2 linked regions of the Rattus norvegicus genome follow. The protein of the gene in region 1 purifies or fractionates together with the protein of each later gene. This does not show direct contact. Links are inferred from orthologs where the notes say so. Each region holds a gene or a part of one and is shown in the gene's direction. Other genes may lie near its edges.

Region 1 (3,807 bases):
GCTCCCCGCAGCTCACGAGCACCCCTGTGACAGAGCGAGGGCCGCATCTCCTCAACGCTCTCAACAGTTACAAAAGCCGGTGAGTGCAAGAAAAGAGGAAGAGCTGTGAGTCCTTGCTGGGATTTCAATCTAAAGGCTCTTCCTACCATAAGTCCTGTGTTTAAGTTGTGCTCCCTGCCTGGCTTTCCTTCCTTCTTGTCCACCATCCAGGGAGTAAAGACATCTAGAGGCCTTCCTTTGCAGAGCCTTCCCAAGCACCCAGGGCCTTGACTCAGTTGTATGTTAGCATCCATTCTATGGCCCAGCCAGATAGAGAACCTGGAAAACCATCAGTCAGGGCTTCCACCTCTGGGCTACTTCCCTAGCCTGTGCCTTCCCATCCCATGTTTTAGCACACACTTGTCCCTCAGCCATGTTCAAGACCTTTTATGACACAACCCTCCTTGTCTTCATTTTACACTGTTATAGATTCTGGGTGTCAGCCAGCCAAGCTCAGCCCTTGGCTTCCTATTCATTTGTTGGTTGGCTGGTTGGCTGGTGGGCTGGTTGGCTGGTTGGCTGGTGGGCTGGTTGGTTGGTTGACTGGTTGGCTGGTTGGCTGGTTGGCTGGTTGGCTGGTTGGTTAGTTGGCTGGTTGGCTGGTTGGTTAGTTGGTTAGTTGGCTGGTTGGCTGGTTGGTTAGTTGGCTGGTTGGCTGGTTGGCTGGTTGGCTGGTTGGCTGGTTGGCTGGTTGGTTGGTTGGCTGGTGGGCTGGTGGGCTGGTGGGCTGGTTGGCTGGCTGACTGGCTGGTTGGTTGGCTGGTTGGCTGGTTGGCTGGCTGGGTGGTTGGTTTTTGAGATAGGGTTTCACTCTGGCCCAGGTTCAAACTGTTGATTCCCCTGCCTCAGCCTCTTCCATGCTGAGTTAACAAGTATGCACCACCACATCCCATGTACTGAGCACTGTCCTTCCCTCGGCCTCTTGTTTTCCCCACCTCCATTCAGTTTTTGGCAGCAAGTCTAGTTACAGGCTCTGTAACAGACCAGTCTAGGTAGATTCTGCGCTATGGAGAGATTCTCAGCTATGAGATACAGCCCCTGCTTCTGTGGAAGCTTGCCTGAAGCCTCTTGTAGGATAACATGCTTATACCTTCCTGTGGTTTGAGGTGCAGCAAGACCTCCCCTTGAGCTTGAGATCCTGTGACCTCCCAGTGCTCAGTTTCCTGAGAACAGGCCAAGGCTTGAACACCCTCCACAGCCCCAGGGCCTCATTCAGCCAGTGTTGAAATAGGAGATGTGCCCGGAGGTGCTTCCTGGCCAAAGAACATGAAGAACTGGCACCAGTACCTGGGTCCTGAGAGTTCTGTCCTATGCTGTACCTGGTGGCCTTGCAGCTGGCCAAGGCTAAGAAGCCTCAAGGAAGAGCAAGGATAGAATACGTTCAGCAGGCAAGGACAGGGAGGTGCTTGGTCACATTCTCCAACTGGAGACTGTGGATTCATTCTCAGGGCAGGGAGGCCCCCGGCCTTGGTGGCAATCTGCTTCACTCTCTGGAGGATCAGCTGACAGCCCAAGCCTCTCTCCTGTCACCCCAGGTTCCTGTGTGGCAAGGAGATTAAGAAGAAGAAATGCATCTTCCGACTGCGCGTCCGTGTCCCGCCCGCCCCTCCAGGAAAACTGCTTCCGGACAGGGCACAGATGCCAAGTGACAAAGGGACCTTTGAGCTGCTTCGTAAGAGAGGAAAGAGCAAGCCTGGGTCAGTGCTGGTGGGGGACAGTGGCTGCAGCGAGCTTGGGTTCTCTGCCTAAGCTCCCACCTCCCGCAGATGGTAGAAGCTATGTGGTGGGCTCAGGCAGTGTGGCAGCATCCCTGTAAACCCGGAGTCCTAGACCCAGCAGGGTCCAGCTATAGGCACTCTGGGAGTGCTAGTGAGAAGCTCTGGGGTCCCTCTCACCACAGGCCCCTCACTTCCTAGCTCCAGGAAGACTGATGCTGGGACCCAGCCCTGCTGCACTAGGACTGGGCAGCGGCAGCAGCAGAGCATGAGGGAAGTGTCAAGGGCTGGGCGAGCCTCGTCTCTAGGGGCACTGGGGCAAGGAGGCACCTCTCATTTTTCTACTCTCTAAAGCCCCTCCACATTCACTGCTCCCGGAGGATGGCCTCCTCCCAGGCTCACTCTACCCTGCCCAAACCCTCCTGATCCCATACTGCCGCTGCCCTCAGCTCTGACTGGGGCTCTGACAGGCCGCCCTCTCCCTTTTCTGTCTCCACAGTTTGTTGCCTCAGGAATCCCAGCAGCAGAAAAGGCGAGTTTATAGAAGAAAAAGATCAAAGTTTTTGCTGGAAGATGCTATTCCCAGTGTTAGTTCCTGGTTTTCTTATTCTCCAGTTTCACATGCAAGGGCCGCACATGTTAGGGGCCCTATGCAGAAAATAACGCACTGGCCCCGACCCAAAGGGGTGCCCCAATATCCCACTGCCAATTACAGAAAAACAAGGATTGTCAGGCACCCTAAGACTGCTATTGGGGTCTCATCACCCACAAGTTCTCCTGAGAACATGGGTTAGGGCAGGGTTAGATAATATCCCAGTTCCAGTCTGGGCCAAACGGGGCTAGGGTGTGGGGGCAGCGCTTTCTAGATGGGATGTTGAAGGCATTGACTGAGCCCAGCCTAGAACCAGGTCTCAGAACATATTTTCCTTCTTCGATTATCCTTACTGAGAGCCTCCTTGTGGATGGTAGTGTTAACGGTGCCTCTGCACTCCGCACTTTCACAGCCACAATGGAGTCCTAGCTTCTTCCTGTGGCCCCCAGTAAAGCAGGCTCTCAGTCATTCCCATTTTGCAAATGGAGGCAGCTAAGACCCAGAGAGGCAAACGAGAAATCAGGCGGCTTGGAGAAGAAGTCAGGACTAGACACCATGGTGACTTAGCTCTCTGTCCACAGTTCAGAGTCCAGAGGAAGTGGCAGGATTTCCCTAAGCCCTCATGGCCCTGGCTGAACAGCAGGCGCCCATACACCCCTCAGATGGGAGAAAGGCTGCTTGGGGAGAGGTAGGTCTGTTGGTCCGTCTGTTGACTGACCCTGTCTCTGTTGTGTCCACAGAGTGACTTCACCTCAGCCTGGAGCACGGACCACCACCTGGCCAGCATATTCGACTTTACACTGGATGAAATTCAGAGTTTAAAAAGGTACCTGCTATTCCAGAACTGACAGTAAGGAGGGGCTCTACTCCCCAGCATGAAGGACACGCCCCTCATGGACCTTCTGAAACTTCAGCTGAAAGGTTCTATATGCACAGGGCTGCCTGAGAATTTTATTCACTACAGCTTGTGGCATAACACCCTCTGCCCCACAAAAGCAGTGGTCTGGGCTGACTTGCCTGCAGACCTGCCACTCCCCTGCCTCACATCTAAGACCGGAAGGGCTATGGCCATCCTGTTCTGTGTTTATACTAAGCCCTCTTCCTGAACCACCCTGTGCCCTGCCCTCCCCGAGCCAAAAACTCAGAATATTGCTCCGGGAAGCCCTCGTGGATCCTCCCAGCTGTGTTGGAAAACTGCTGTATCTGCTCATATGAATATGAAATCGTCACATTTGGGTATTTGAGGGGCAAGAATGTCATCTTTTATCATTCGACTCTCGAAGACAACTCTGTTTTGGTCCCGGATCAGGAAGGGGAGGGATTTAGAGTCAGATGGGAGCTCTAGGCCATGCTCGCCAGTTCTAACCCTGCAGCATTAGCTGACTTCCTTAATCGCCCAACCGCCCCGTTTCCCCCGCTTTGAGTCCGTGGAATTTTGTACAACTGCCCATTGGCTCATGG
Region 2 (4,607 bases), on another chromosome or scaffold:
TCTTTTTAGGTGGGAAGCTGCAACTGCTTGCCCTCACTCTAGATGGCAAGCCCATTCGTTCATTGGCATTACAACCATTGTATAATGTATAATGAATTTCAGGTGTATAATGAATTCAGCTGAAGTCATCCCAGCTTATGGACTGAACTAGTGGATTTTGACTTTTCCATTTACACACACACACACACACACACACACACACACACACACACACAAGTATATTAGAGTGGCTTACAGGTTGTGGTCCAACTAGTCAAGCAATGACTGTCTACCAACAGAAAACCCAAGAATCTGCTAGTTGTTCAGTCTACAAGCCTGGATGTGCTCGAATACCAGTGAAAGAATATGTATATATTCCCTCTCTCTATATATATTCTGAATATCTATATACATATATATTCATTCTCCGTTCTCTATCCATTTAATCAGTGAAGGAATGAATACATTCATACATTCATTCAGCCTGTTCCTCTAGAGAACCATGACCAATACAGATACATAACTTCTAGAGTGTTACAAATTCTCAGTGTTAATTCTTCATTGTTGAACCTGTTTTCGCAGGTCTGTTAGTTTGCCATACAGATGCATCTTATTAGAAGTAAATTTGAAATATCATTATTCACTTCATTGCCAGATAACTGAAACCAGGGTGTGTGTGTGGGTGCTGTGTATTGTATAAGAAGCACATTTCTAGTCCTCGAGGAGGGGAAAGGTTGACTTTCAAGATAGTCTAGCCATTGAAAAATGTTGCAAACTTCCTTACACTTTGCTGAGACAACAGGGACTGAGCTATCTGCTCTCAAAAGTTGCTAATAAACAACTTGAAACCTTGATAAGTGCTGAGAACCATAAACATAGATTGGAAGGCCTTTCAGAGAAATCTGGTCGCTTTTTCCTATGCTGTCAGGGCATTAGGCACTAGTTTTGCTAACCAAAGCCTCCAAGGTGCCAAAAGGAACCGCACTAACTTTCTCTGCTTACTGGTCCTCTCCATGTGGAGCGCGGCCCGTCCCGCATTGAGTCCCCCGTGGGGCCCGCCACGCGCCTTTCTGTCCGTGTCGCCAACAAGAGTGTTGGATTCCGGGCCCAGAATGGCACGCCAGGGGAAGAGGGCGGTTAAGACCGTTACCAACCCGAGTTTTGAATTATTTCAAACTTGGCTCTGGCGCCCGCCCTTCTCTTCCCCTCCCCCTCCCGAGAACTACTCAAGAGCCCATTCCCGCCAAGAGCTGGCCCGCCCCCCGGCCGGTTCCCGCCATCCCGACCTCCCCGCCTCCTGCCCATAACGGGCTTCGGGTCCCGCCAAGTGCCCGATCTCCGCCTGCCTGTCCATGGCTTTCCTGAGAGGGTACCGCACGTTGGCAAAAGAACAAAGACAGAGACTGTGGAGCTTCCACCCGGTTAGCCGCGTTCCTCAGAACGAGCCCTGACACTCGCGCACGCGCTGGCGCCGGCGAGCCTCCCTGTCCCTGGGCTGGGGCTCGCTTGGAAGGCTCACAGCTCATCCGGCCCTCTGATTGGACGGGCGCCCTCTCGCATCCTCCAATCGGGGCGGCGCTTGATAGTGCTGGGGGGGCCAAATAAAAGCGATGACGATTGGGCTGCTGCGTTTGGCGCTCGGTCCGGTCGCGTCCGACACCCAGTGGGACATCGAAGGCAGTGGAGTCCCGGCGGCGGCGGCGGCGGCGGCGCGTTGGGGCGGCGCGCGGGAGAAGCGCGGGCTGGCGCGCGGGACGAAGGTAATGCACGCCGTCAGCCGCCGGTGGTCGGCAGTCAGGGATCTGGAACGCGCCCCGGGGCGGCGGCGGCGACCGCGGGACCTCCGCGCGAGTGCCTGGCCAGTCTCAGGCATCGCCCAGCGGGTCTCACTCGAGCGCTGCTTTTGTAGGCGCGGAGGGAGGGCTAGGAGACAGCTTTCCGAGGGGTCATGAGGTGCGGGCAGGTCCACGAGGTCCCAGGAGTGGACTGTGGATTCCGGCAGATGTGGGAGAGCGGGGGCCGGTGGTGGGGGCTTCTGTCCCGGAGCCTGTTCCCGCCGGGCCGGGGCTGGGGGCGTTCCTGTGGCCGATCCGGGCCGGCAGCTCTAAGCCTCAAGTCTCCTTTGTGTGGCTGGGAGCGCCCGGGTAGGACGGGACGTACACACAAGTTGGTGGGACCGAGTCGAGAGTCTGCACTCAGACAAAGGACAGACTGTGTCTCGGGAGGGGAGGGGAGACGGCGACACTCGGCTCCCGCCGCGCGGGTTGGGGCGTGGGGAGGCGCGACGCGAACGCGAGTGGGCAGGGCTCGTCCTTGCCTGGCCCTGCTGGGGGGCGACCGACTAACGCCTGGCCTTGCTGCTGCGGGACTGCATGAACGATGTTGGGAACTCCCTTAGCCCCGCGGCTGACATTTCCCCGAGAGCCGGGAGTCTCCCACAGCTTCGGGCTGCCAATGTCCTCGCCTGGCTTTGTGCTAAGTTCGATGGAAGAGTCCAGCTGTGCTCCCTTCTCTCACTTCATTGTACAACCTCCCCCTCCCCCCGCACGCACCAGATGTATGCTGCAGGGCTACTTTTTGAAAATGGGAGAAACTGAGAAAGCACGGGCTTTCGGAAAACTTGGTGAACGTCTTGTGAGTTCTACGTTTTAAAGGATCAAAATTTTAAAAAAATTACGGACTGTTTTGGCCAACTTATGAGCTTCTGAGAACGGCGACAGGTGCTAACGAAATCAACTGTCATTTATTCAGTGATTATTCCCCAAATCTCTAGGGGTTGGTTGTGGAAGAGATGATAGAAGTAGATGATCGAAATAAAATACCCACGAGAAATGTGGGTTTACGCTGAAGGACTGACAGTTTCTTTTTAGTGGGTCATGTTTCCAGTGAACAAAAGCTTTGGTGAGTCAGAAAAGACGTTTGTTGCCTAAGAAATTCGAGTGTATTCTGGTCACAATTCAAAGAAACTTCCTTTGTTTATTAACATAGGATTTGTAGAATCCAAATTCATCTGAAGTAAAAATTTGTCTTTGATATTTCAAATACCGTACAACAATGATACAACACCATTTCAATTTCAGGAAAGTCGTTATCATTTTAATTTTATGGGTTTTTAATGGCACATAAAACATTTGAAAAATACTAATGCTGTCACAGTTGAATGTAGTTTATATTTTTGGCGATTTCAAAATTTATTTTCTATTTTCACTAATGAACATTAGCAGTGAATTCATATTTAGAAATAAAAGTCTCATAATTTTACTTGCAAGTATGTGGAAATATTTAGGTTATATTTAATTTCCTGTTCTTGTTCTTTTAAGTTGGAAATGGGTTGGATTCTGGTCTTAAACGAAAAGAATCCTGCTTTTTCTCTTTGGAGAGGTGTATTAGGGAATGAAATGCTTAAAGTCCCAGAAACACTTAGAAAAATTGCATCCTAAATTTTTATTTTGATGGGTCTTGAATATATTTCTTTAAAAAAAAAAGAATGAAAGAAAAAAACCAGACTCTTCAATTGCACTGTTTCATCTAATGAAGACCTAAAGTAAATCTGCTAATTTACGGCTTCATATGAATGGAGACAAAGAAATGCAGTTCAAATTTCTGTTGCTTAGGATTTAGGAGCATCTTGGAACAGACATTCTAGGTGTTGCTCTGAATGTTGAGGTTGTAACATAAGGTTTATATTTACATTAAAGTCCTATTGATAATCTCATTCATTATGAGGTGAGCTAGTTGTATAGAATTTGGGTAGAAACTTGGGTGTGTAGAATTTAAAAATTCCAGTTTTGCCAGAATATGTGATTTGTCCTCTAGTTGATATTTGCTATTTTGTACTTGCCACATATATTTCCTAAAATCTCATTGAGGAATTGGTTGAAAATTCTGCGTTATGTTTTGATAGAAATGAGAGTATATTTAGACAGTCTAAATAGTGATAGAAAAAGCCACTTGTTGACTTGTGTAGTTAGATAGTTGTGTAGTTTTTGGTACTGGTTTTCTCTTACATGGATACATGTGATTATTTTTGTGTTGGCTATGTAAAGGTTTTAGTCAGATTTCCCAAATCATACCAAAATTCGTTTGCTTTACGGTGTCCTTTATTCTTTGAGGTCATATGCTTAAGAAGTTTAGATTTATTTCATCATTAGCCTTTAAATACTAGTGAAGAAAGTTGATTTGCTTTAAAAAAAAACAAGGAAAAATTCTCTGCTGATACAATGATTTATGGGCTAATTAGAAATGGTTTATAGATTAGCTTTGAAGTCTTTATGTCAGTATAGATGGTGACTTTTTCTGTAAATTCCATAGTAGTTATAGTTTGGTAAAATCTTCACGTACGGTGGAGCATGGGTAGAAAGAACAATGCACTATATTCAGAGAAATGTCCATCAGATTGTGTGTTTTATTTTAGAGATGCTGTTCCAGAATTCTCAGACACTCCCAGGGTTTTGTTCATGCTTTTATTATAGCATATATCAAATTGTTCACTTGTTTATGTGTCACACTGTATAAGTGCTGTGGGACAGATTTGATTGTATGCCTAACACCTAGGTTGGTAGCTTCCAGCGAATAGAGATTTTAATAACCAGTGATTTAAGGAAATTGGAATGATACATTGAAATATT

Evidence for each region.
Region 2: the proteins of Phf19 (region 1) and Ezh2 purify together in Homo sapiens (affinity purification with mass spectrometry; 10 studies listed by BioGRID and IntAct, counting the BioPlex papers as one, with this or other methods). This does not show direct contact. The link is inferred for Rattus norvegicus from reciprocal best matches to the Homo sapiens genes PHF19 and EZH2.

What each region holds. Positions count from the first base shown.
Region 1 is NC_086021.1:38,576,565-38,580,371, reverse strand, and holds part of Phf19 (PHD finger protein 19), read left to right. Parts: intron 1-11; coding exon 12-79; intron 80-1,574; coding exon 1,575-1,736; intron 1,737-2,253; coding exon 2,254-2,341; intron 2,342-3,086; coding exon 3,087-3,172; intron 3,173-3,807.
Region 2 is NC_086022.1:77,684,177-77,688,783, reverse strand, and holds the start of Ezh2 (histone-lysine N-methyltransferase EZH2), read left to right. Parts: upstream 1-1,600; 5' UTR 1,601-1,739; intron 1,740-1,753; exon of another isoform or gene 1,754-1,932; intron 1,933-2,012; exon of another isoform or gene 2,013-2,880; intron 2,881-4,607. UniProt on the Homo sapiens protein: Polycomb group (PcG) protein. Catalytic subunit of the PRC2/EED-EZH2 complex, which methylates 'Lys-9' (H3K9me) and 'Lys-27' (H3K27me) of histone H3, leading to transcriptional repression of the affected target gene.